Linked DNA regions of Struthio camelus. The protein of the gene in region 2 purifies or fractionates together with the protein of the main gene of each other region. This does not show direct contact. Links are inferred from orthologs where the notes say so. Each region holds a gene or a part of one and is shown on either strand. Other genes may lie near its edges.

Region 1 (10,401 bases), on a different chromosome or scaffold from region 2:
GTCGCTGTTTCTTCAGGTGAATGCATGAAAGAAAATGCCATACATCAAGTCTAAATGCTTCCATTAGCTTAAGGAAAAGGCAGTGAACCTAGACGTGCAACCCCCCGCCTCACCCCACAAATTCCGACCGCTACACGTTTGTCGGAAGGATCTCGTACGGCAAAAGGAACGCGCTTGGTTTCTAGCATAAAATGTAGGACAAGATTTAGTACTACAGAACAAAGGAACCACTCCAGCCTATTGTCACAGATACAGCTTCATCCGAAGAGAAAAGAAGCAATCAGGTAATAAATGCCATATTTAATGCTATTTGTATGAACCAAGTAATTACATGAACTGTATTACTCACTGTAAACGACAGAGGCCTTTCGTGTTTATTCTGGGAAAGGGTGATGGCATCCCTACACGTGGATTATGAATTCACATTGCTATAGCAATTAAGTGCAGATATGGGGACAAATGCAGTCTAGGAGGTTTCATTAGTCATCCTGTGGCCACTCTCGAGTATAATGCCCCAGCATAGGTGAATATTACAAATACTTAATATTAAGTATTATATTAATATTAATATTTGCTACTAAATATTAATATTTGCTACTAAATTTTCCGCTTTCAAATACCGATAATTTATTCAGTTATCAATAGTGGTAGTTTAAAACAGCTGCCTAGCTCAGGGTCATACGGGCAGGGTATGAGCATCCTGGTGGCACGTACAACCGGAGACCTTTGGAGGTAACTTGTCAGCAGCATAAAAGCTGCGTCTAATTCACACGAAGTGACAGAGAGCAGCTGCTTTCAGCCTCAGCGCCAGGGTTCGGCCTGGGGAGCTGGTGGACAATGGTCATTGGTCCCCCTCCGCAGGGGCTACTGAGGTATTAAATAAGACAACAGCTGCAGCTTAGAAATAGATGGGGTTTACTTAATTTCAAAAAGAGGATTTTACACTAAACTCAGCAGCTGCTTTTTTCCAGAGTAAAGGTTTAAGATTTCTTTGACAGTGAGGAGTCTTCTTTTAAAAAAAATAATAAAAAATAAAGAAAAGCATGTGATGCCGATGGATCTATACAGTAATGAGCCGTTGCACAAAACGATGCTGCGCACTGAACGCGGTTCCCCAATGCGTGCCGGAGCGTTTCGGGAGCCAGTCAAGCACGATTTGGACCGGCAGCTCCCCCCAAGAGCGCTCTGCTCAAGGAGCCCGCTCAGCAGGAGCCAGGGCAGAGGCACCCGCCGGCACCCCACTCCCTCCGCTCCCGTTTTCACGGATCAATTCCTCTTTCAGCACCTTTGAAAGGGAAGGCAAGAACTGGGCTTTTTATGCAAACGCGCCCTCGATTTATCATTAAAACATGTTTTTGGCTGGGGCAGACCCCGGCTGCGGCGAGAGGGAACAAAAGCCCTTGTGTCATCGCACACACAGTAAACCTTTGTGGCGCTGATGAGGTCGCAGGGCGCTTTCTCAGGAGCGCTTCCCCCCCAGGCCACGACACGAGGACAACCCCTGTCGTGCATTCCTTTCCTCTGTCTTTCCACACCAAAACTCAGTCTCCGTAGAGACTGTCAAAAATTGCCAATGCCGACTATATTTCAAGTCGTCATGGCGGGGTATTGGGAAAAGTTTTCAATTAGCAATAATCGCGCCTCGGATTAACCTCATTGGCTACGATACTGCCACTGCGCAAAGCTGACTCTCTCCTCCCGCCGCCGCCGCCCCTCGCCCCGCCGCCGCCTCCCAGCTCACGGCGAGCCCCGCCGCCCCCGCGCCCCGCCGCCCCGCGCCGCCCCGCGCCTCGCCGCCGCCCCCCGAGCCCCGCCGCGCCCCCACGCCCCCGCCGCGCGGAGGAGAGCCCCGTTTTCCCCGCAGTGCCGACCGGCGGGGCGGCCGCGGAGGTTGCTGGGAAAGAGTATGCAAAGCAGCGTGACGTCAGGCGGCCGGTGCGTATGGCGCGCGGCGGGACGCCAGGCGGGCGGCAGGGCGCGCCCAGACCGCGCCGTGCCCGGACCGCGCCTCGGAGCCGCAGCCCCGCCCCCCCCCTCCCCCGTATTCCCTCTTCCTCCCCAAACTCCGCTTCCCCTGTTCCAACACTCTGTCATTAAACCACGTGAAACCAGCCTCCGAAGAGGCCCTCAAAAATTGCCGGTGGCAACTATATTGCAAGCCGCCACGGCGGGGTATTGGGAAAAGTTTTCAACTAGCAATAATCGCGCCTCGGATTCACCTCATCGGCTACGATACTGCCACTGCGCAAAGCTGCCCGCCCTCCCCCGCCGCCAGCGGCCGCCCCCGCCGCCCCACCCCGCCGCTCAGAGCGCGCCGCCGCCCCGCCGCCCCGCGCCGCCCGCCGCGCGCCCCCGCGCGCCGCCGCCCCCGCGCGCCCCCCCCGCCGCGCGCCACCGCCCCGGGAGGGGCGCCGGGGGCGGCCCCGCGGCGCGGCGCGGCGGCGGCGGCGCGCAGGGGGTGCCGGGAGGGCGCGAAATGCAAATGACGGAACTATGCAAATGAGAGGGGCGGGGCGAGGGGGCTCCCCCCGGGAGGGGACCGCGGCGGCTCGGCCAGGGCCTGCCGGCAGCCCCCTCCACCCCACAGCGCTCTGAAAACGCATCGAAACTCTTCAAATAAGCACTAACGACCTAAAGTCCATTCAGACTCACGCGGCGGCTGAAAGGCCGTGGTTAAGGGCCCGCGGCGGCCCCGGCCCTCCCCGGGAGCAGGGCGCGTAGCAGCGGGCAAAGCCGGCGCCGCGCAAGCGGGACGCGCTTCTCCTTTGCGATCACAAAATCCCAGGGATGCAGAAAGCCTTGGGCTCCTCCGTGCTTTGAAGTAACTGCAAAGGCAAGAAAAGTGGATTAAAACCTCGCCCCATCTGGAGGATGCTCGTGGAAAGCGCTCCAGGTTATCAGAAAGACCCGCCGGGTGCAACGCGGCGGACTATCCCGTGCTGGGCTGCTGCAGGACAGCCGTCTGCACTTCCCCCTTCTAGCTCATTCTTTAAAAACCTGAAAAAATAACCCCCTGTGCCAGTCGAGTCATGGTTTATCACGTGCATGTCAAGACTGAAAGGTTGTGCCAGTGCCCCGCTGCGAACCCGACCCCAACCACTGGCCACGTGCAGCTGCCCGTGGCCGGGGTAAGCGTCTCACACGGTGTCAGCTCTTGAAGTTCAGATGGGAACCAGCAGCTGAATGGAAGAAAAAATGCCTCCATTTACGCCACGCGGAGGGGAAGCGGACCTTATCTCCAGACCCTCATAACCCCAGCAGGGCGACTTGAAAGGCCTTCCAAAAAAGGAACAAAAACACCCCCAAAAGAAACATCGAAAGAAAACAACAAAAACCCTCTACTGCCGCTGTTTTCAGGGTCTAGGGAACACAGTTTCCTGTGGGAATAGCTCAACAAGCTGGCCAGAAAAAAATGTCACCATCTCAATAACCTGCCGCTTTCCAGCAAGACACCAGCATTCCCGCAAACTGTGGAGAAACAACGGGCAGGGGACATCGCTGCCCAGCAAAAGCCAGCAGTGAAACCCAAGCAGTTTGCTCGCCAGAGAACAAGGAAACAGCTTTTATGGGAACCGCGGCAGCATCCCCAGCAGCACCATCGTCTCCGTATAGGCTGGCTGCAGAAGGTGACAATCAGCAGAGTGACAAGCAGGTCAGGCCAGCAACGGGGCGAGCCCGCGAGGGAGGTAGGGAACCGACAAGCCCTTTGGTGGCAAAGGGTTTCATGTCAAAGCGCTTCAGGGCGTCTAAGGAAGGTGCCCGGGGAGAGGCCCAACGAGATGAAAGACAGACGCCTGCCCCCTTTTTCATCCACGCCTCCTCTGAAAGCAGCGTGGGGATCACCTGTCACACACCGGCCTCTTGGGGGTCGTCTGGCCGCACTGTAACGCATAACCGACCGGATTTTCCTTATTCGTCCATCCTTGCTGCCGGGGGCCCTTCCCCTGGCTTTTCCCCCCAACTTTTTTCCCCATCATTCCCAATGTGCTCAGCAGAAGACCAGTCCACCCTCCCGGTACGCTACGGGCCGGGGCCCGAGTGCAGGCGCCGAAGGGCGAGGGGCAAGCGCGGCCCCAGCAATTCACACCCCCGGGAGTTCTGGAACCGGAAGAGCCATCGTCTTCAACAGCCCACAGCGGACTTTGCTCCTGTTATTTGTTCTGACACTTTCTGAAACCAAAGGCTGGCAGGTTAGCATCAGTGAAGGGAAGCTGCCTGCGTTCGGGTGTCTACAGCGCACTTTATCAAAGCTAGTCCCTACGTAGCAAATACTGCTGTGATTTCCTTCTTGTTTGTTGCTTTGAGGGCAGCTGTGAAGCGTTTAGCTTTTTCACATTTCACTTTCTTATGACATTTCAGGAAGGTTTTTTTTCCCCCCCCTCCTCTTTGAAGCATGGGAACTGTAGTCTTCCTGCTGTAGGCTTTAATTTCTTGCTGAACTACATTTCCCAGAACACTACTCTTCCGGTAGGTCCTCTCTTCTCTTCAGAGGTCCCCCACGGCAGCATTATGAAAGGTAAGTTTTCAGGCCCTGTTCACTATATCTTCTTCCATTAAGCGTGTTCAGTTTGACTGTTGCCCCTTTTCGCCTGCAGTCATTACTGCAGCAAAAGAGATTCGGATGACCTGGGTACACCTCTGATTTTCTGGCCTGAAATCATTTATAGAAACTTGTTTGTTTTCTACCTTAAACTGGACCGATCTCTTTCTGTAAAAGATTTTGGATGTGTGTTAAAAACAAACGCTAGCTTGGATCTTGATAAGTATATTAAAGGTTTTTTTTTTTAATCCGAGCACCTTCATTTTAAAAGAAGCCTCATGTTTTGCATCATGCGTTCTGTCATTTTTAAGTTTTTCTCTTAGTCTGTCCTACTTCCTTGCTTCACAGCACCTTTCAAATGTATCTGGTATTTTTGCTGCTGTGCCTAATACCGCCTTCTCTCTCCTGCCGGCCAATCCAAATTATGTCTGCATTTCAGTCCCCTTCAAAACATTTTCTTCCGAGAGCTCTTTTGATGATAAGTGACAGAAATGGAGAATTTCCATCAGTGCAAGCAATTTAAACACTGTCAAACTGGCTTAACAGCCTTTTGGGAGGATCACAACAGATGTTATTCTCAAAGCACGCTAACGTTTCCCAATAAACTGTGTCCCTTTTAATTAATTCACATGGAAAATTAAACCTCTTCAGAAGAAAGGCCAAACACAACTAATGCTAAACATGAAAACAAAACAAAAATCACTGAGAATAAAATTCACTGATTAGATTACAACAAATGATTCAGAACTGTAGAGGAAGTCCTACCAGACTAAGCCCTCCTGTGGAGCTTAGGTTTCGCGAAGAATCAATCTGTTCTGGAAAATGCTGAGGTGGCTGTGTTGTTGCTTTCCACAGGAGAGGCCGAGGATGGGGTAAACTGAAAAGACTGATTTGGAGCAGGCAATGCGTTAGAGACAGTAGAGCAAGAGTCTCCTCTGTGGAGGAATCGGAGGCACCAGCCGCACAATGCCTGCAGGGGTGAGGTACTTGCCCTCCCTGCTCTGTCCTCTCTGCCTATTGCACGTCCCTGGAAAAGCCCTGCACAGGTCCATCTGTGCTCTTTAGGAGTCCTCTGAGGCCTTCACAGCAGGGATGGAGAGCAGGAACCCTGCGAGTCAGGGGTGCTAGCTCTGTCCTTGCACCATGGGAAGGCCTCGGTGTTACCCCCTGCAACGGGCGCATAGGAACATTGTCCTCCTGCAGTAAGCTTTCAGTAACATTTTCAAAATACTTTGGAATTCTTTACTGAAAGACAAAATAGGACAAAGAACACTTATCAGTATTATTTGCCAGAGTATCCCAAGGAAAGGGAATTAAGGACATGCTCTTTGCTTTCTTTTACCTGTGTTCTGTTCTTTACTTTTAGCAGAAGATGTTCTCTGCCAGGAAGTTGTCAGGAGGTTGCAGAGCCATCAGACTTCATTTCCGATCCCATGTTGTATCCAGAACCTCTCCCAACTTGACTTTCGTGCCAGAGTGTCTCCCCCCGGATCCCGTGGAAGTCGAGGAGCTGCAGCACTTTGTTTCCAAGTCCAAGAGGCTCTTTGTAATGACTGGAGCTGGAGTCTCGACTGAATCAGGGATCCCAGATTACCGCTCTGAAGGCGTCGGGCTCTACGCAAGGACAGACAGGCGGCCCATCCAGCACACCGAGTTTGTCCGCAGTGCCAGTGCCCGGCAGCGGTACTGGGCAAGGAACTTCGTGGGCTGGCCCCAGTTCTCCTCCCACCAGCCGAACGCAGCACACCTGGTGCTAAGAGACTGGGAGAAGCTGGGAAAGCTGCACTGGCTGGTGACCCAGAACGTGGATGCCCTTCACACCAAAGCTGGGAGCCAGCGCATGACAGAACTGCACGGCTGCACGCACAGGTACTCTCCGTGGTAGAGAGGACGGTTAACGCTCTGGTGTCTTGTTGGGGTTAAGAAGCAGCAAGTGCAGCCGTAGCTGCTGAGCCAGGAGGCAAAACGTAGATGTGCAGTGTTACTGGAGGTGACATGCTTGAAGGTGCTGGGCTGGGGGTGCAGAAAAGGGTCACGCATCAGTGCTGCTCACAGCAGAGTATTTAATAAGCATGAACAGCATCCCATTTTTTTGGAGCACTTTTTGGATCATTTCCCTTAGTGGCTGGGTCAGTCAGAATCTCACCTTTCCTTGCTAAAGCAAATATCCTTTGCTCAGGTGAAGAGGAGGATCCTGAGGATGCAAGGAATAATTACCTGGGCTGAGCAGAGCGGGTAGTGCCAGAAAAACAGAGGGTGGGTGTACTGGAGAGGGGCCACCACGGTCTGCTTGTGATTGCCCAAAGTTTCCACATGAAAAGGCACAGAGTGACTGCAAGAGAGGAGGCACAGCAGGCTTCCTCTAGAGCATCCCTGCAAAGCAACAAGTTCTGGAGGTGGGGACCACTGCCTGGCTGGCATGGGTTGGTTTCTTTCTGAGGTGTAATTATATATATATTTTTTCTTCTATAAAGCTCTTCATTTGATTGTCTCAACTAGAGGTAGACAGACAGTCCACTGACCTGTGCCATTTGGTGGATAAGTGCGGACAGTAACAACAGGCCATCCAACCAACAGCTTACTGACTCCAGAGGCTCAGCTGACATGAAGCTCTCGGTTAAGACTTTGTTCTGCACTTTAGGGTTTTCTGCCTGGGCTGTGGAGACCAAACCTTGCGCTCTGAGCTGCAGGTGCACTTTGAAGCTCTGAACCCTACCTGGAAAGCTGAAGCGCTTGGTGTGGCTCCCGATGGAGATGTCTTCCTGACAGACGAGCAGGTGCGTAATTTCCAAGTGCCAGCCTGCAGTAAATGTGGTGGAATCCTGAAGCCTGACGTGACGTTCTTTGGAGACACAGTGAGCCGGGAGAAAGTGAATTTTGTGCACCAACGCCTGGCGGAATCAGACTCCGTGCTGGTGGCAGGATCCTCCATGCAGGTAACCGGACGTTCCTCCCATACTGGATTCTCTTTCTGTGCTACTCTGCCTGCAGCAGTCCTTGGTCCCACAATATGGGACTACTGCTTGCAGACAGGTGGATCTACAGCCTCTCCAGAGCTTCTTGGTATTTTTACTGGCCTTGGAATCTGGCTTCACAGTTGCTCTGTTTGGGCTTCCCTGTCACTCCAGTGCTGATCTCCTTGAAGCTGCTATAAATAACTCCGTTCACACACTCTGACCTCTCCCTGCAGTCCTCTCTATCGCTATATAGGTCCACAGTTGCCTGCAGAGCCAGGATACCTGACACAATCCAGCCCTGTATAGATCACCACCCCACATTTCTTTGCTTGAGCTTTTCGCCTTTGGCAGCTTCTTAGGCCTCGCGGCATGCTGTGTAAAATACCAGATTTTAGGACCTCTAATTCCTAACTAAACTGCTGAAGCAGAAGACAACAGGAAATCTCTGCTTGTCACTTAGGACTGTCCTTTCTTTCACAGTCTTTCTCCATTAGCCACGTCTTATCTATAAGATAAGGTGGTCTAAAAACCTCTGTTGTTTAACCTGGGGAAGTTTCTGGAACACAGTTTGTGTAATTGATATTTTCTGGAAGCAAGGTTCTATTACAAAATGCTAATGTACATTAAGAAAAACTACTCTAATGCCTCCCAGAACAAGATAAAAACCAAGTCCTGTTGTGATTCTCTTGGCTTCAGGATACTAGGGGACAAATTCCTTGAGCCTGCTCTCCTTGAGCTCATAATCCTTTGTACAGGAATGACTGAAATGCCTCAGGTTCGTTCTTGTACTTCCTAAGCTGGACCACGTGAGACCCATCAAAGTAGAAGCATTTAAGTACCTATGGTAACTAATAAAAGCCGGTGCGGAGATTTACTGAAAGACAAGGACATTTTCCTTCAATGTACGTATTTGCTGTGGTAAAACCCTTCACTGACATAGGTTAAAAGCTGCTGTTCTTTTCTGTGCACGCCTGAATAAAGACATTTCCTGCTGGAATTAAGTGCAGTCACATAACACAGCATGTATATACTGCCCTTTTCCCCAATACCAACAACAAATTTGCTTTCATTATTCCTTTCTGTAGCTTTTCTTTTTCTATTCTGCTGATCATTTTGTCTCTGTGTCTTCATGCAGGTATACTCTGGTTACAGGTTTGCTCTTGCTGCCCGGGAGAAGAAGCTGCCAATTGTGATACTTAACATTGGGCCCACCAGGTTAGATCACTTTGCATCCCTGAAACTGAATTCCCGCTGTGGGGAGCTGCTGCCTTTGATTGACATACACTGACCCAAGAAGCTGAGGATCAGTGGCTTTCAGGAGTAAAATTTTTACAAGGTGAGTACCTGCCCTGCTTAGTCACCTTGCAGGGTAAGGAGATCAGCCCTGTTCAAATACCCATCAAATGCCGAGCCATCTTGCCAGGAAAGAGACTGAGATGTGCCGACGAAAAATATGTTCCGATAACGGGCATCAAAACTTGCCTGTAAGTTTTCATCTGTAACTGGTACGCTCTGCTGGGCGATGATGCTGCTTCCTGTGATCATAAACAAAAAGCATATGCATTTGCTTGGGTACAAACGCCCACAAAAAATTGGGCAAGGGAAGCCAGAAAACTCAGCAGTGTCGCAATCGCATCCATTTCTCACAATCAGAAAACTACATGGGATAAGCTGCAGACTCAGAGTGCCAGATTAGCACTGTTGCCATTACATGCTACAGTCTGTCTTTGTAATACACAGATTCATTAAGGTCTGTTAAGTTGCTGTGACTCTTATTGATGATTTGAAAGCTGTGCCTGGTTGAACTAATCCAGCTAATCAGAACACTGCTGTTTAAAATATCCAGTTCCATCTATAAAGCAGCTTCTTCCCTCCACTCCTGCAGGACCCATCATCTCAAAAGCGGAAATACTTCAACCTAAGAGGCAGCTGTGAAATCCAATGCATAGCCCCTGAGGAGACCAGGAGAGGGCAGCAAGCCTCGCGCATGCCAACCTGACCGGTTTTCTGCATTGAAATCATCCCCGCTTAGGCTTACCAGGGAACCGAGGGATGGTGAAAAAGCTTCTCTCTCTCTCTCTCTTTTTTTTTTTTAACTCCTTCCTTACCCTGCCATTGTAAAGTGCCTTTTATTTGCATTCACTGAGACAGAATGACCAGAATTCTGTTCTGTATCTGGAACAATACTTTTCTTATAATTGTCCCAAGAGAAGAATGAGGGATGGAGAGTTCAAGTAACTTGACAAGTTAGAAGAGCACAGGAGGGCGATGGCACACCACTCTGTCAGCTGGGGGATCCACTGACACTATCAGGCGACTGCAGGGCCTGCAGAGAGCAAAAGGAGGCAAGAGGACCCGCAGGCTTTGACTTGGGAGTAGACTGCAATAGAAAACATGGTTCAAAAGAGAAGCTGAACAAGAACAGCCCTCTTTTAAGAGATGCTTGGAAAGCACAGAATACATGGCTGACGCCTTCCAGCAAGGAGGGGAAGCAGCACTTGTCCCCATTGTCAGCTGGCCAATTAAGCTAGTCACTATCTGAACCCTTTAAAAATAATATACTGTTGAGATGCCAAAGGAGTTTTTCCTAGCTAATCTGACCAGAGCTGCTTTCGGTGTGGCTGCTACATTTTCTAGAATGCACTTTTGAATACGTTATTCTATTAATGAACAGTTCAATGGTGAAATAAAATTGTTTACAAGACAGATATTATTTACATTGTAATTTCTTCTCCCTCATATAATGTATTCAAGTACAGTCTCAATAGCCAGTTTAGATTCATTTGTTTCATTGCAAAAATGCGGGTTGTAATTACTAACACTTGATGAATTAAGACAGTAATACAATTACACCTGTACAATAGGTCTCCCTCAGGAGGTAATCTCAAACTATTCACAGATGTA
Region 2 (10,031 bases):
CCCCATTTCCTGAAGGTCTGAAGAAGAAGGGGGGGGGAAAAAAAATCGCAGATGTGCCCCTTTCCCGGGGCTTCTCCTCCCCGGGCCCCCTGCCAGCGCTGCATCGCCCCTGACCGCAGCGCTGCTTCGTCGGGAGCCCTCACCGATGCCCCAGCACCCCGGAGCACAGACGCACCCCGGGGCGACGCTGCCCAGCCCGAGCCGCCGGCGCTGCACCCCGGACGGGCCGCTCGCAGCCCGGCCCCCGAGCTGCCCCTTCCCCTGGGCCGCGGCTCCGCGCTGCGAGGTGCAACGCCCCGAATCGCGCCCAGGACGCCAGGCACGCTCCAGGAACCCGCAGCGGGCAGGCACAGCCGCCTCGCCGACCCCCGGCACGTCCCGGACTCGCTTCCCGACCCCGCGTCGCCCTCCCTTCCTGGTGGGAAGTAGGGGACAGTGAGGACATACCTAGACCCAAGAGGAATCAGTGCAAGGTGCAGATTTGCAGGTGCTGGGTCCTGGCCTATGTTCAAATCACATTTGTGCCTGTTTCAGGGCTTTATCTTCAAATCGTGCTTTGAACAGAGGCAGGCGCAGAGCATCGCTGGTTCCCTTTGCACCCAGTCCTGCTCGGGGCCTTGCACCGACGGGCAGTCGGGCCAGCACGGAGCAAAAGCAAGGATTAGGGCCTGGGTACGCTCGAACGTCGGCTCAAGCCAGCTCTGATTTAGCCACGCTCAGTCAATTACTTGCTCCTTTCTCCTAAAGCGGACTATCTCGTGGCTCACCGCCAACTTAAAACATCCAGGACCAAAGTCATTACTTTCTTTCCGAAGCTTGCTTTAAAATAGCACTACAACACATTCCACGTTTTTGCTCATAGTCGGAGACTTCGGCAAAACGCGAGCCCAGAGGGAATTATTCTCAACGACCCGGAGTTACAAGCCTTAGAAAACAGGACTACGCTGGAATGGAAACAGTGACAGTCTGAGCCCGAGTCACATGAAGAGCATTACAAGGATGGTTATTTCCACGCAAAGAGATTTAAGCTGGTTTTAGGGCATCGAATTAAAGGAACGGCTCCTGGGCAGAGCATCGCGGCCCACGGTCCGGGCACGCGCGCTCTGCGCCGGCCGTTTCGCACCAGCCGAAGCCTTTTCCAGCCCTTTGCACTGGACGAATTTCCAGTCGGGCTCCAAGATGAGACGCAAAGTGCTGAGGAAGTGAGGTCATATGGGAAATTGTTCTGAGAGATAAAGGAACAAGTTAGAAACCAAGCTGCAAAATAGACAGTACAGGAAACAATAGAGCTTTAGATAGTCTTTCAAATTTCCCCTAGTGATGCCAAGAACACAGCACTTCATAGGAGCAATGCTCTTTTTTTTTTTCCTTTTTTTCTTTTGCCTTACACATGCTGCAAGGAAACACAGACTAAAAGATTATGGAGCCGAAGTTGTTTGCTTCAGCCCAGGGCTTGCTCAACCTTTTATCTCGCTCCACGTATTTGTCGGTGGTTAAAATAAGACATTATGGGCCAAGTCTTTCAAGTCTCATTAGAAAAGAGTTGAGTGACTCAAAGGCCAGACTTAATCCCGTTATCGGCGGTAGCCCCAGCAGGGCCTGGGGATGGGGCTGTCTCCCCAGCCCATGCCACCACCCGCCTCGGGGAGCAGAAGTGGCTCCTGCCACCTCGGTGCCACACGGCAGCTTTCCTTCCTGGCGCTTCTGCGCTGCCAAACCTGCAAAGCGACGCTCGGACGGATCAGAGGGCTCCAGCGAGCCAGGCTGAGCAAACCCCTCGTGAAAGAGCCGAAAGCCCTCACGCCACCCACGAACGCGACTGCCACAGGGAGCCAGGGACCCCGAGGGGAGATTGGCAGGCAAGGACAACATCTCAGCAGAGCAGCTAGCGCAGCAGGAAGGACCGACGCGGTTTCAGACGCGCAGGAGCCCCACGGTCCCGTCCAGCCTTCCTGGCCCAGGGCGAACCCACTGAACAGACGCCACTTCCCCCAAAATGCACACAGGGACGCACAGAGAGCCGACTCTGCAAAAAAACCCAAAACAAACCAAAACCCTTGGGGGGTCCAGAGTGCATACATACCCGCCAGCCCCCGCCTCGGGGAGGCTGCGTGACTGCTGACGTCCCCTCCATGGGGCAACAGAGCTTCTTGTCCCCCCAGCAGAGCCTCCACGTACTTTGGTCGCTGCAAACTGCAGCTCTTCCCTTTCATCTTCCACCTCCCAGCTCTCTAGCTCGGTACTTGGACGCTCCTTTCTCTCTCCCCACGGTACCTAGATGATTTTCCATCACTCTGGGACAAAATCGTTACAGGGCAGAGATATCATTAGAGCATCTCCATCACACAGGGAGCACTGCAAGGCCACTAACGATCTAGACAGGGAACATTGGACTTCCCTGAGCGACTGTGTCAGCCCATAAATAACCCAGGCTCCCAAATCACCAGGCTGCGTTTCAGTGGAGCTACTGACTGTAAGGTGAAAGGGTGAGTCTCTGCTCTCGGACTCCCGGGTCAAAACCTGGAGGTGGACACTGACCCCTGTATTGTAAGCAAAGGTGCCCTCCTCTGAAAAACGAGCTCAGGACTGCAGAGACAATTCCCTCGGGAGGGAGCACACACGCCTGATCCCGGAGATCCCAAACAGTCACATCTCTGGTGGGGGGCACGCGCCGGCAAAGCCGTCTGCGGCCCTCACGCCTCCCCAGGAGAGCGCGGCCAGCCCAGGTCCGAGCCCGCCCCGTGCCCTACGCGGGGGCTTCGGCACTCGTAGAGTCACCGCGGGCCGGCGGGGAACTCGGAGCTTGGCAGAGACGAGCGGCTTTCCCAGCATCGAGCGCTGGTCTCTGGGAGTTTGTCATGACCTAGTACTCACGCCTGGGCGCTAGTCACTGCTGCCTGCGGGCACCTCAGCAGGTTAGAGAAAAGCTGCACACACGCTTCAGCTTCCTGCCTGTTCTACACCTTCTCCTCTGGGGAGCACCAGGCTGGGAGGAGGGAGAAAACCCCCACCAACCCTTTCCCTGCCAGGCTCGCGCGGCTGGGTTTGCACGCAGCGCTGCTGAACGTGTGCTTTCCTGTCCCTTTCCCGCTGCGCAGGTAGCGCCGTCCCCAGGCACAAGCCAGAGCTCGCGCGGCGCATGGGGACAGGACCTCAAGGATGACCGCAATAACGGGTCACAACACCCCAGCAGGAGCGGCTTCAGAAGCCCTAAGACTTCTCACAGCAACGGAGGGAGGGGGCCAGCACGGGGACCGACGGTCACATCCGCTCCAACAGCAGCAGGGCTGAGCCCTGGTGCAGCAGGGCCGAGGGGACAAGGCAGGAGAAGGGCAGGGTGACGGGGGAAGAGCGCAAGGCACGCGGCCGGCGAAGCGCACGCAGAAACGCAGCAGAAACGCAGCGGAAATGATTTTGCAGGAGGCTGCACAAAAGTTCTCCGAGAGACCGTTCGGTACCAGACACGAGCACGCCACAGTCAGCGCCCAGACACGCCGCGTCCTCCTTCGCCCCACGCGCGCCTCGCTTCCCGCGGGCCCCAGCCCCGCAGCTCGCCCTGCGGCCGGCACGCGCGGGAGCCCCGCATCCCACCGCGACCCGGCAGCGCGGCCGGTGGGCACCTCCCCGGCATGGCAGGCAGCGAGGCAAGGAGGAAAGCCCACCCCGGCTCCAGCTTGGCTCGGGCACCCGGGGCTACGGCGCTTTCCCGTGGCGCCAGGGGCTGTCATAGAGACGGTGGGGACGCAGCAGCGTAGCTGCTCGCAGACGCCCATCGGGGTGCATCACCCCGGCTGCAACAGGGGAACTTCCAGGCTGGATAAAGCCTTTAATCAGGCAATCCAGGGCCCTGCAGCTTCCTACCAGGCTGATCCCAGGCAGCCCAGGAGAAAGGGCACAGAAAACAGCCTTGGCCTAACAGGGTCCTCCGGGTCCGTCAGAGCTGGACATGACCCCCAGAATTACCGGTGAACAAACGCTACGAGGGAAGTGGATCAAGAGACATCAAAGCAGGGGGGGTGATGAATATTTCATGTCCTGGCCTACATACAGCCCGCTCTCCCCGCCCTGCGCTCCCGGGGGTCCCCCGCAGCCCCCAAACACAACAAAGGGGATCGCGGGCAGGCGGTGCAGCTTGCCTGGACCCCACAGCCGTCCTCTCGGACCTGGCCAGACCCACAGCCGCCCAGCCAGATGTGGCCCGACCCATAGCTGCCCAGATGGACCTGGACATGCCCAGCTGCACCCACAGCCGCCCCATCGGACCTGCCCAGACCCCGAGGCGCCCAGACGGAGCCGCCCAGATCCAGCTGGACCTACAAGCACCCCGCCGGACCTGACCAGACCTAGCTAGACCCATAGCCAGCCGCCCGACCTGGCCGGACCCAGAGCCGCCCGGAGGGACCTGGCCATCCGCAGCCGGACACAGAGCCACCGGCCGCAGCGGCAGCATCCCGGCCGGACCCCGCCGCCGCCCCGGCGTCTCCAGCCGGACCCCCGAGCCGGACTGCGGACATCCCCCCGCCGCCGCCGCCGCCGCCGGAGCCCGCTCACCTCGGCGCGTGCTCGGCCCCGCTTTGTCTCCGCGCCGGGGGCGCGGCCGCCGCCGCCACCCGCCGCCGCCGCTCTGGTGCCCGGGCCGCCGCCGCCGCCGCCGCAGCCCCGCGCCGCTCTGCTCCGCTGCGCTCCGCGCCGAGCCGGGCCGGGCCGGGCCGGCTGCTCAGGGCTGCGCCGCCGGCAGCACCGCGGAGCGCCGCGGATCCGGCGCGCTGCTCCCTCGCCCGCCCCCGCTCACCCCTTCTCTGGTTGGGGGGGGGGGGGGACGACCCACGGGGGGGGGGGGGGGGGAAGAGGAATATGGCAGCAAACCGGAAACGGCTTTATAGGAGGGGAAAAAAAAAGCAGCAGCCCCTCCCCTCGGGTGGTGGTTTTTTTTTTTTTTTTTTTTTTTTTTAAAGGGAGAAGGCTGCGGGCAGCCGGGCTGCGCGGGCGCGGAGCGGGCGCGGCGCCGCCGGTCACGCCAGGGGCAGCGCCCCCGGCCCCCCGGGGGGGCGGCGGCGGCGGCCCGGGCCGCGGGGCCCCAGAGGCGGCGCGGCGCGGCGAGGGGCTTCGCCCGGGCCTTTCGCCTCGCCCTCCGGGCTGCCCCTCCGCGGCGGGGCTGCCAGCGCTAGCGTATTACCGGGAACCAGAGCTGGTGACGGAGAGACAAGGGGTTTTCAGAGTGGTCAAAATCTGGCTATTTTCCCTTCGCTTTATTAGGCAATTCTAACAAACAGCACATAGCGGGGAGCGAAGCTGTTTTGTCACAGCTCCGCGCTCGCGCCTAAGCCCTTCATCCTCGGCAGAGACGCCTGGCGATAGCAGGACGGCTTAAAATCCGTCCTCCTGATATTTTAAAAGGTGGCAAAACTTTAGCGTAGAAAAAAAGGCAGAGAGAAAGCCAGTCCACGTGTGGCCGTAAGGCCCTGGGGGAGCGGCGAGGGCGGCCGGAGCGGCGGGTGGGCGGGCGGGCGCGCGCGAGCGGGGCGCCGCTCTGCCTCGTCCGTCCTCGCCGGCTCCGGGACGGGCCGACAGGGAGGGTGGCAGCGCCTGGGCCGCCGCAGGTTACGCCCTCGGCGGTGGTGGCAGCGCGGCTGTCCTCGTCTCCGTCGCGCGATCCGCCACCCCAATTCGCAGGCTGGAGCAACGCGGCCGGGCTCAGCCGCGGCGGGGACGGTGGCGACGGGTGGTGGGGAAGGCCCCCGCTCTCAGTCGGCGCCGGTTCCTCCTGCCCTGGAGAAGTGGCCCGCCTGGAGCAGAAGTGCTGCCGAGCGGCTAAGGGGAAGCGGAGGGCCGAACGCGCAGCACGAAGGCGACCGTTGCCCCGCCGCTCCCTCCGTTCGCTTGCCCGAAACACGTTCATCAGTACCTTCCTCCCGGCGAGGGTTTTGAGGAGTCTCCCGGCGCTTCCCCCGGCCCCGAGCAGCGCCCCTTCCGCGAGGCGGCCGCGGGGCCGGGCCGGGCCGGGCCGGGGGGAGCGCCGCGGAGCCCGCGCCCCGCCGCGCTCTGGGCCCCTGCCCAGGGGCCTGCTGGCGCCGCGGCGGGCGTCGAGGCTGCCGGGCAGCGCTGCCTCAGCCCTCCCCCAGCTCCCGTTAGCAGCCCGCTGAATCGTTCCCTGTCACTTTATCCTGCGGGAAGAAATTGGGTGAAGCAGTCGGTTGCCACCCGTGTCGCTGTTTTATGAGGCGCGCTCGGTCGGCGGCGGACTACAGTAATCCGCTGGCTGGGTCGCTGCAGCCAACCGCCCGCCTGTGGCCCCGCCGGCCAGCCCTCCCCGCCAGCCCTTGCAGCCACCGAGGAGGGGCTTTTCGAAAACGCCGCAAGTCCCAGCGAGATCTGACCCTGTAGAAACGATCTGAAAAGCTAACGAGTTTCAGAAAACAATGTGGCTGCCCCCCCCCCCGCCTTGTTCTTGTTAAGTTATTAAACAAATATTTCCCATGACACGGCTGAAGGCCAGCGAATCCATGAGTCACCAGGAACGAGGAGTCACGCACCCCGCGGCTCCATCACCCCGGCCCGCGCCGCGCGGGGCCCTGCCCTGGCAGGAGCGCCTCGGCTGATAAGGCCCCGTAGGAGCTGCGCTTGGCCGGAAAAGCCCAGCCCTTTCCCTCCCAGCGCCTCGGAGGGCCGGGCACCGGCAGGCGCTCGGCAGCGGCGGGCGGTTGCTGGAGAGCGAGGGGCTGCGGTTCAGCGCGCCTGCTCGCTCCTTGCCTGGCGGTACGGCGGGCTGCGCGAAGGCCCGGGGACGCGCTCCTCTCCCGCCCGCTCCGGCGGCCGCCGGCAAGTCCCGGGGAGCTGCTCCGGCAGGTAACAGCGCCCCGGGGAGAGCGACGGGCTCGGCCCCAGGCCCTGGGGGAACCGGTTGAACTCAGCCTCTGCCGGATCCAGACCCAAAGCTGAGATGCAATGATGACTTATACATATTTGGATTTTGTTTTCCTCTTTTGCAATCAACTCCTTTCCTGCGGGCTGTCCCACAATCGCGTTTTGCATCTCTGGCGGGGCCGGCCAGTCGCTCAAAGGCGAACAGCAGAAAGCCCTGTGCCTTCGAACACGCTGTACCAAAGCCGCGGCACAGTCGCTCCTTCGATGAAGACACCAACGGGCAAATCTAGAATGGCAAAGAGATACCCTCAAAAACCAGCCCCTTATCTTCTGGGCTCTGATTCAGGAATGTGCCCTCGCAACACTGACATTAAACACCCGGTATTGGCGATAATGCAATTTAAACTCATTCGAGTTTAAGCAACTCAACACACTTGAGTGCTTTCTTGAATCAGACTCAAACTCCTGAGACTGAAGGACAACTGCCGTCAAAATATTTTTCATTAAACAGTCTAAAACAAGATCCTTCTTACCCAACCCAGGGTTTTAATGTCTTACCTGAAACTTTTTTTCTTGAGATGTTTTATTTCCGTTCGCTTTTAAACAGCACCAATCAAACCCGTACTGGAGAGGGGAGAAGGGTTATAGAGCGAGGCTGAAACAGAGATAAAAAGTCACCGGCAAATTTAAAAAGCATCACTGGATATTTCTGCTGTCTCGCTTATTACAGCACATCTTGATCGCTTGTTAGAATATCATTTTAAGATGTGCATAGGCATTTTCCTGCTTTCCTGCTGATCTTTAGCAGGAAAAAAAAAAAAAAAGAATGACAATCACTATACCCAGAGCGCTGTCAGGTTAATGGAGTAAATAAGTATATGGTTTCTTTGTTACTGCCGTCAGGTGTACACATCACCGGTAGCCGTTGATGTACGTCAACATCGGCGGAGAGAGCTCCCCGGCTGATGTCTAAGGCCCTACGTGCGCCGTGCTGCAGCGCGCCGCAGCGGGGCCGGAGGCTCCCCGCTTCTCCCAGCCGGCCGGGGCTGCGCGGCGGCACCCTGCCCCTCAGCGGGGAGGTCCTCAAAACGCGGCATGAGCCACATCGAATTGCTCCGCGAGACTCGGAAAATCTTCTTGTAAAGCAAGAGGATGCTTTTGGGGCCCAATAATCGATCTGTGTCCTGACCTCAAACTGTAGCTGTGGCTTTGCGACAAAACATCTATTCATCTCCAAACAGATTTATTTTTAAGCATCTCCTTGGCAAGCGTGAATGAGTTTTGTTTAATGGATCCTGTTCCTGAGGCCACTTGCATTTTATTCACTGCAAAATCCAAACACATTTGCCCGAATTATTACTCTTAATAATAGAACAGTTGTGTTCAAGCTGCTGGGCAGAGGCAGAAGCGGGAACGGCTCTTTCCCTAAGAATTTACGATCATTGAACTTTACAGTCTTGCAAATAGTGAGCGTGTGCGACAGCAAACGATGAGAACGACCAGATCCATTAGGAAAGCCGCAGTTATGAGCTATGGGGCTGATTTACTAGGGGGAATTGAGGAGAATAGCTCTTGCAGTACAAGCCATTTGGCAATATTTCGTCGCAGAATCTGATTCTGGCCATTCTCTCCTGCACTGAGCATCAGGTCCGCAAGAGCAGAGCGACAAGAACTGCTTGCCAACGTCTGGTGGGCTGTATGATAAAAAAGGGCAGTTGAAAGGAAGTCACCAAGTGGACTCAGGACATCGCTCAGGAAAGGGGTCAGTGGGCGGGTGGAGGAAAGGGGTCGGTGGGCGGGTGGCAGCTCAAGACCTGCCGTGCCCTTCGGTGTGGCGACAGTCTGCCACGTCCGTCGGCTGGGGGAAGGCGAAACAGGCTCTTACCCCAGCTCTGAAGCTGCACAAGTCCGGTAGTGTCAGTGCAAAATTCCCTCGGGGAATGGGTGGCTGGAAAACACTCACTTAGTGGAATGTAAATGTTTGGGGAGAAGCCCCAGAGTTCTTCAACAGCTTTGGAAGGCAATTACCTATACGTTCAATACAGTCACAGCATTTCATGTCCGCTTTATATCTGATAAAATATAACATTTTGATCAGAATAGAATTAGGTATTTCGGAATAGCTCATTCAGACAAAAATTCTACACTTTTCACTTTTTGCCTCAGTTTAGAAGAAAAGCCACAAACAAAACATCGGCATTTCCTAGTGGTAGAAATTCTGCTTTTTGGCCAGTCTTAGTGTCAACAGAAACGAGCAGTTCAGAAAAGCCCATGGAAAACTGTACAGACGAGATTTATAGCCTTTCTTTCCAGCTGCTTTGCTAACAGAGCAGCTGGGGATTCCTCCCGAGTGCAGGAATCACTGGGTAGTTCAAAGCTCTTGTAGCCGCATCAACTTGACCTTCCCCTGGAGCACAAGGGGGTGTGTGTGCAGAGCAGATTGGGCTGTAGCATTCCTCAGACAGCAGAGAAGTCCCCGGGGCGCTGTTCCTGCGAGGGCAGGGCTGCTCGCAGTCACATTAGTGACTGCAGCCTGTGCCAAATGGAGCTCCAACAGACACAAGGGTGGTTCCCACTCATCATTCAGTGTTGGTCCTTTGAGCGAGGGATGGGCTAAGGAAGCCAAAGTCTGAGTCTGTAAAATTTAAACCATATGATGTTTGGATCTACGTTCAATTTAAACTGAACTAAGTAAGTGGGGGGAAGGTAGGGAACAGAAATGTTTGCCGCTTCGCCCCTCCTCTCCAAAAAAGCCTCCCCCAGCAGTTCCCTTCATCCCGGAGGCCTGATCCTCCGGGACATGCGGACATCTGCCTCAGCCACCTAAAGCAGCTGCGGTAGCATCAAAAGTATCGGCTCCGCAGAGAGCTCAGCCTCGAGGAACTTGGCGTGCGCAGACCCCAACAGCCACAGTCCGGTCGTTTTACGGCACAGACCCACCCAGCGGGATCTAATTTATAGGGCAAACTCTCTGAAAGTAGGAGAGATGTGACCTAACAAGCCCCACGGCTGCAGCACGGCTCCCTGCCCACGTGGCTACGGCCGAGGCACAAGTAAGGCAGGACGTGTCTGGGGCTGGGGCCTGACTCAGCTGCGCTCGCTTCCCTGCGCTCCGGGAGTGCTGCTGCCCTGAAACAGCTCACCCATCCCACAGTGCGTGCCGTACT

What was found. The genes of interacting proteins can lie anywhere in the genome.
Region 1: the proteins of SRC (region 2) and PXN purify together in Homo sapiens (co-immunoprecipitation; 4 studies listed by BioGRID and IntAct, with this or other methods). This does not show direct contact. The link is inferred for Struthio camelus from reciprocal best matches to the Homo sapiens genes SRC and PXN.

Annotation. Positions count from the first base shown.
Region 1 is NC_090958.1:7,822,992-7,833,392, forward strand, and holds the start of PXN (paxillin), read right to left. Parts: upstream 3,908-10,401; 5' UTR 3,893-3,907; coding exon 3,855-3,892; exon of another isoform or gene 2,826-3,854; coding exon 2,653-2,825; exon of another isoform or gene 2,531-2,652; intron 2,254-2,530; exon of another isoform or gene 2,113-2,253; intron 1,687-2,112; exon of another isoform or gene 1,546-1,686; intron 11-1,545; coding exon 1-10. Other genes in the region: SIRT4 (NAD-dependent protein lipoamidase sirtuin-4, mitochondrial), read left to right, coding at 5,507-5,518, 5,910-6,409, 7,182-7,476, 8,633-8,785. UniProt on the Homo sapiens protein: Cytoskeletal protein involved in actin-membrane attachment at sites of cell adhesion to the extracellular matrix (focal adhesion). Recruits other proteins such as TRIM15 to focal adhesion.
Region 2 is NC_090959.1:7,546,256-7,556,286, reverse strand, and holds the start of SRC (proto-oncogene tyrosine-protein kinase Src), read right to left. Parts: upstream 4,478-10,031; 5' UTR 4,451-4,477; coding exon 4,373-4,450; intron 2,955-4,372; exon of another isoform or gene 2,875-2,954; intron 2,295-2,874; exon of another isoform or gene 2,135-2,294; coding exon of another isoform or gene 2,084-2,134; intron 1-2,083. UniProt on the Homo sapiens protein: Non-receptor protein tyrosine kinase which is activated following engagement of many different classes of cellular receptors including immune response receptors, integrins and other adhesion receptors, receptor protein tyrosine kinases, G protein-coupled receptors as well as cytokine receptors.